Linked DNA regions of Caenorhabditis elegans. The gene in region 1 interacts genetically with each later gene. Each region holds a gene or a part of one and is shown on either strand. Other genes may lie near its edges.

Region 1 (3,757 bases):
CATTTTTCATTTCCGTTATCAATCACAAATCACTCGTTTGCTCCATTTTCTTCTGGTCACAAGCTCCCAGTTGTGTTGCTCTCGTCAGTTCTTTTTCATCGAAACGACGGGCCTATTTGTTCATTTGATTTGATTCGGGAATTGAATTTGACACCCATCTCCGGCACGAGACGTGTATGTTGGCTCTTCACATTGCGAAACTCGGCCTCCCAGTTCGGATGTTGGAAAAGTTTATTCAAAAGTTCAAATAATATGTTTATGTGCTCCTCGAGTTCGTCGATATTAAATTTCTGGCATCTTTTTTTGAATTTCGAAAACAATTAAATTATTTATATAATTTTCAGGCTCGATTCTGCGATTTTTAGCAAAAAATACGGTACCTCTCGACGCGCCAAATTTTTGATAAATGTAGAAAGCTGTGCGCCTTGACAGAGTACTGTAACTTTAAACTTTGCTGCGGAATTTCCATCGATTTTTTATAGTTTTCCGATAGAAAATATTGATTTATTAAATAACTTGATTAAAACAATGAAAATCCATGAATTTACCTATATAAAATCAAAACAATCCGCAGCAATGCGAGTTACAGTACTCCTTGAAGGCGCAAACAAAACTTTATCGTGTCGAGACCTGGTACCGTATTTTTGGTGCAATATTTTGCGTCCTTTTGCTTAAGAATATCGTTGATTTCAGACAATTTGTTTTAAATGTTTTCTTTGCTTTCTTCAACTTAAATATTTAAAAACTAAAAACTAATTTCCGAAATGCCAAAAAATTCTACCAGTTAGGTCATTGCTCTTATCTCTTCTACAGATCGATCGTCCCCGTTTTTCTCAATTCGATTCTCATCTATATTTTCCTCAATTCTCTCCAAACAATAACAAGAATATTTTCGAAATGAATCACTGTTTGAAAATTCTTGAATCCTTCCTCCCTCATCCGTTTGCATGTTCATTGCCCATTTGACACTCGAGCAGCAGGTGGCCTGTGTCTCTTCACTCTTTTTCGATCTTTTCATTAGGTCAGTGCTCATCATCATCATTAATTACTCTCGAATTCCGAGCCGTAATTATTCTTTACTGTGTGTGTGTGCTCCGTTCTCTCGGAAGTTGCGTAACGAGAGAGTATTACAAAAAAGAGATTAGAGGCATGTTGTACAGTAATCTAAAGATTAGATTCACTTAGATACCGAAATCTACTATTCTTTGTCTTTCTTTGCCACGTTTCTCACTATAATTTCACGATTCATTGATTCGATTTAGCACTTGGAACCAATGTCAACATTACACCATTTCACTTTTTTTGAAAATTCAATGTTTTCTCATCAATTGAAGGTCAATTTATGGACCGAGTCTTCTATTTTGAATTCCAATAAAACCTTCCAAAAAATGTTTATAGAAAATGTTTCGAAGAGAAATCCCTAAATTTAGCCAAAATTTTTAATGTGTCATCTTTGCCAACTGCCGGAAAGTATTTGTGTTGGTTTTCTGATATTTCGAGAAAAAAAAAGATTTTTCGTAAAATATCTAAAATTGTTGGCCATTTTCCTCCGTTTAGAAGAATTTTTTGAAAATGTTTATCCACATCAACAACTCATTAAAAATTTCACTTTTTGTTAATTTTCTAAACATTTTTTTTCGATTTTTTCTGAAAAAGATTTTAGCTATTTACTTAAGTTCGGTTTTTTTTCCAAATTTTGCCAAAAATCATTTTTCTAGAATTTTGTTCTCTCCATTTCACAAACTATTAACTAAATAATGTTGAACTTCTTCTATACATATAACCAAAAAAACTATTTCTTTAATAATTTTTTATATTTTCAGACGAATCCTGCTATGAACTAACACTTGTCAATCTGAAATCTCTTCAAAACTATCAATTACAATGCATCGACATATTCTGATATTATTTTTATTCGGATGCTTATCAGCTGATCAACGACTCTCATCAACTTCAATTTCATCGATGAATGGATTCTCAACAACTCGAAAATGTGAACATATTACAATTCCAATGTGCAAAAATCTGGATTACAATCAAACAGTATTTCCAAATCTTCTCGGACATACAACACAATCTGAAGCTGGTCCAGCAATTGCGCAATTCAATCCATTAATTAAAGTTAAATGCTCAGAAGATATTCGTCTCTTTCTTTGTACTGTCTATGCACCTGTCTGTACAGTACTCGAAAAACCAATTCAACCATGTCGAGAATTGTGTTTATCTGCAAAAAATGGATGCGAGTCATTAATGAAAAAGTTTGGATTTCAATGGCCAGATCAATTGGATTGTAACAAATTCCCAGTAACTGATTTGTGTGTTGGCAAGAATTCCAGCGAGTCGAGCAACTCTAAAAAGTGGGTTTTCTGCATAATTTTATGAATAAGAATTTATAATTGATATATATTTACAACAAAAATTTCAAAAGTACCCAAAACATGAATTAAAGTTTAAATTTACGGGAACCGTTCTAGAATCCTTTTTTTAAATACAGCGAGAAATTAAATTGTAAATTCAGTTAAAATCATCGGTTTTGCATTTAAAGAAAAATAATAATAAATTCAGAATGGCCTGCAAAGACCGAACCTCGTAAGAGTTTTCAAAAAAAAAAAGCTCTCTGAAAATTAAATTTACGGCCGCTGTGATACTGACAAGTTTGGCTGAATTTAAGTATTATTCCGAATTTTTGAGCCCCATAAAAACTCCTACTCCAAAGCGTCAAATAGTTTTTTATCAAAGTTTTTGAATTTAGAAATTTTCCGAAAAAAATGTACATCGAGATTTCTAAATTCTTTGTTTTATCGAACAATAAAACAAGTTTCCGTAGATCGAAATATAAAATATTTCAAGTTACAGAAGTAGTAATGACGTCACATTCGGTGTTTCAACAATTGCCAACGAAGTTGTCCTTTCTCCAAAAAAATGCCCTCATCATATGCATACAACAAGCGGATCTCATTTTTCATTGCCTCTTCTCAGTGGACGCCTTCCTGAATGTTCATTAACATGTGAAGCTGACAATCAAGTACCAATGATGTTTGATGGACGTGTTCGACGAATTCTTCGAATCTGGACAGCAGCATGGTCTGTGGCATGTTTCGTGTGCTCTTTATTCACTCTTGTCACATTTCTTGTTGATTTATCACGATTCGCGTATCCAGTTCGACCGATTTTGTATCTCGCGTTCTGTTATCTAGCAATTTCTACGGTTTATATGATAGGTGAGTTGAATTTTCTGTTTTTTTTAAATCAGATTTTTTAGAAACTAAAAATGTATTTCTACAGGCGTAGTCGGTGAAGATGGATTCGCTTGTGGAACGTATGGATCTACTCCAACAACACTTGTTACGCAAGGAGGAGAAAATGTTGGATGTAGTGCTCTTGCTGTTGTTCATTACTTTTTCTTCATGTCAAGTTGTGCGTGGTGAGTTTTTTCGTTAATTTTTGTATTTTAACGAAAAAAGTACCGTTTTTTGTACCACAAATAGAAAACTGGTTTTGAAAATGTGCATTCGAAAAAAAATCGGCATGTTTTTCTTTTGTTCAAACACATTTTTCAACAAAAAAACGACAACTGAAACATTTTTTTTTTAAAGAACTTTTTGAATATTTTGATAAAAATTTTAATTTTTATAATTTCGAGTGTAATTTTTCAGAAAAAAATTACATTTATGATTTTCGACAATTTTCAGTAACAAAAATCTAAAAAATATTTTTTTTAAACCAAATTTTAAATGAAAAAAACCCCGTTTCCGGA
Region 2 (3,757 bases), on another chromosome or scaffold:
TTTTTTTTTTCTATGAACTCTGAAACTCACATCTAAAGCTTTTGCTTCTATAGTTCCACCAACAGATTGCAGTCTTGGCTTCAAATTTTCAAGCGATTGAAATGCAGCATGTGATGCATCACTGATCTTTTGCTTCATCTCTCGAACATCATCCGACGTCAGCGCCTTCTTCTCAACCAGCTGATGTCCATTGTGCAATCGGATCGCGCATGTCGAACAGATCTTTCGGCCAGTCTCCTCACACTGTGAACAATCGAAATAGACACCCTGACTGAGAACAGCTTCACACTGATTGCACAGCTTGACCAGATGGCGATCCTTGAAGAGTGGAGCAACTTTTTGCACAATTTCCTGAACTCGATAGTTGACAGGTAGGCCATCCGCCGGCACCAGCGTCGGCTTTCTACACTCTGGACACTTGATCTCTGTGGCGCGAGCTTCTGGTCCACGTCTCGGTAGGACTACAATTCCACGCACCATATTCGGATCGTTTGGGTTCATTCGTGGATCTAGACGGGGAAGATCTATGAAATGTGGTTGATCTTCCTGATCGGCAAACCCGCCAAGGCCTCCGAAGCCTGGACCTATATCGTCGGGATGTAGAAGTGGGCCACGTGGGCGGCCGAGTTCTTCTGCCATGTTGGTTTTCACTTGATCTACCTGTAATTTTAAGTTTCATTGGAGATGGAAGAAGTTAAAAATATGAAAATTTGCTAGAAAATAGCAAATTTATTTTGTAAAATAAGGTTGCCACGCGTTTTCTAGAGGTCACTTCAGGTAAATTACCAATTTTATCACGTTTTTTATCAAAAAATAGTTCAACATATAGAAAATCAGTTGATTTATCTGAAAATATCATTTTTCCACATAAAATCTCAAAGAAAGTGCTCAAAATTGGCGAATTCCTCAATGTTTCAGCTGAAATAAATGTTACTTCCCGATAAACCAAGTGATTTTCTATATTTTGGCATTAATTTTCATAGGAAAACGTTTAATAATTGCAGAAAATTGTGAAAACTTTCAGAAAAACATAAAAATCGTTTTTTTTTTCTCAAATTTCAAGAAGAAATTGAACTTTTAAGTGGAAAATCAGTAAAAATATATGAATTTTAGCTCCAAGCGTCTCAAAATCACTGAAAATGTCAGAACAATGACATTTTTTAAGTCGAATTTCGAGAAAAAGCGTGGTTTTAACTTCAAAAACGCTTTAATGACATGAAAATGCCTGAAAATGTGATTTGTATCTCAGAAATTACCTTTTTCTGTTAAAAAAAAAGCAAAAAACTGAGAATTTTGTTTAAAAAAACGGCAGAAAATATAACTTTCCCTTCAAATTTTGACCATTTCGACCTGAAAAAGCTCAAAATTATCAATCAACCTACCAATCTTCCAATACACGTTGAGCATAGCGTGTGTCCGCATCCCATCTGCATCGGTTTATCATAAATGTTGTAGCAAATCGGGCATTCGACGACGTGAGCCCATTGTTGCTGAAAATTCAAAAATTATATTGATTTTAATCATTTTTATTTTCACACAAACTTACATAATTACTGGTACCACTTGTGCCCGGAATGTCCATTATTGCTTTTTATTTATACAAAAATATATTCAAATATTCCAATAAAAATGTGAATAATCGGTTTTGAACCCGATTTGCCCGTCAGGCGGAATCCAAATTACCCTGAAAAAAAATGAGAAAAATCAATAATGTTTGAAAAACGAACGGGGAGAACGCTGTGGGGCGTAGTTGCAAAGAATCAAAAAGTGAGAGAGGAAAACGCACAGAGAGAGACACAGACAAAACAAGCACTTTGCGATGAAAAGGGGCTTTTTGGGTGGATGAGGATGAGGGTGCACGAGAGATGGCGTGTTTATGATTGAGAAAATTGCTGTCTAAATCAATAAAGACTGGAGGAAATTTGTTTTGTGAGTGAGTGATCTCTTTTGATGTTTTCGCTGTGAAAAATACGAAAAGACTAAAAAATTTCGAAATGCTATTTACGAAATAAGAAGAATCTCGCGCTGCAAGAAAAAAAAAAGTTTGTTTTTGTGATATTACGAAAAAAAGACTGAAAAATGTCATTTTCTGGGCAAACACACGAGAAAATATTGTAAAATAATTTTTTTAAGTTGTATTCAGGCATTTTATTGATGAAAATTGATGATTCATCGGCGGAAAAGTGGAAAAAATCGGAGAAAAAGAAAAATAAAAAATGTTTATTAATCAACCGTAGTTTGATCATGGCGAGACCCAAATTATAAATTGGGTCATGCGCCTTTAAAATGTACGGTAGGGTTTTGCGATTTTTTTTTTGAGTTTTGTGTTAAAAATCGTATTCTATTTTCAAACTGAATTCAAATTATTGAATAAATGAATTTAAAACATACTTCCAAAATTTTTTTTTGTAAAAACTATGATTCATTGACGAAAGTTGGAGAAAAATAGATCAATTTCGGCTTAATCATCAACCGTAGTTCAGATCGTGGCGAGAACCAAATTCAACAATGGTCCATGCGCCTTTAGAAATACAGTAGTTTTTGGCAATTTTTTGAAAAATTGCGAGATTGAATGAATAAAAACCCAGAAAAATAAGAGAGCCGACGAAAATTAAAGTGAGAAAAGAGTGGAAAGAAGAAGAAGAGTCGGGTCATATATTCATCAAATTGTGCGTGCATGAATCAAGTGAAAAGACAACGCGTCTATTCCTCGCTTCGATTGTTTCAGGGGGGACCACGATAATAGGATAATAGGTCTCGCAGTTGGAAAGAAAGAAATGGTGACGAAAAACGAAGACGGAAAATCGATGAGAATGGTTGTCTGTCATATGTGTATGTGTGTGTGTGTGTGCACCGGGATAATCTCCACCACTTCTCTATTGGTTTACACCGAGACGGGGGGAAGAAAACGAACCTTCCCGTCCGGCAGACACATCCCACGGGGCGGCAGCAGCCACCGAGGGTCATGATTATTTTTCATTGAGCTCTCCGCGCGCGAGCCGTGGTGGCTCGGATTAAAGCAACCACCACACAGCTGCTCGACAGAGAGCATGACTTCCTTAAAGACAAAAGGTGTTCGGTAATTGCGAAGAATACATAACAGCAGTTGGACCAAGACACCGGAGGGAATGGAATGCAAATTGAAGTGCTGGTGGAGGCTCAATTTAGATGATTTTATGGCGAGAGGAGAGAGGTTGCAGGCGTCGAAGAAGAGGCAACTAGAGAAAAGGATGGAAATTTAATAAAAACGTTGTGAAGTGAGAAGAAGAAGAAGACCGATGATGACAGACGAACGAATACCTCGGCACCGTCGCTCTGATGTTTGACAAAAACATCTGTGTGCTTAGAGACGCAGAATAGGTCAAATCATAATATTGATTCTTATCGTCGTCTTTTACGTTGTTGAGAGAGAGAGAGCATGTTTCTAATTCCGCTAGGAAAACATTTCAGTTGACAACAATACTGATGCAATGTTATTATTTTGTGATCACATTGATTACACATCAATAACACAATTGCGTAATAGCTTTTAAAAAGGAAAATAACAAAGAGAGTGGCATTGTGCAACAATACAGAGTGTATGTGTCTGGAGACTTGTGTGGTGAGGATGGGGGTACAAAAATTTCCATTCCACTCGTCTTTCTAATACCCTCTAGGGGTCTCTTTTGACAAAATGCATTGAAAATGATAAGACATATGCGATTTGTGTGTCAAAACATAATATTGAATGGGATTATTTCTTGGTTGAATATTGAAC

Evidence for each region.
Region 2: of mom-5 (region 1) and tam-1, changing one enhances a phenotype caused by changing the other (phenotypic enhancement), as found in Caenorhabditis elegans (one large-scale study listed by BioGRID).

The regions. Positions count from the first base shown.
Region 1 is NC_003279.8:9,963,757-9,967,513, forward strand, and holds the start of mom-5 (Protein mom-5), read left to right. Parts: upstream 1-1,823; 5' UTR 1,824-1,884; coding exon 1,885-2,357; intron 2,358-2,850; coding exon 2,851-3,221; intron 3,222-3,285; coding exon 3,286-3,424; intron 3,425-3,757. UniProt on the Caenorhabditis elegans protein: Receptor for Wnt proteins.
Region 2 is NC_003283.11:4,961,413-4,965,169, forward strand, and holds the start of tam-1 (RING-type domain-containing protein), read right to left. Parts: upstream 1,691-3,757; 5' UTR 1,583-1,690; coding exon 1,547-1,582; intron 1,491-1,546; coding exon 1,379-1,490; intron 657-1,378; coding exon 31-656; intron 1-30.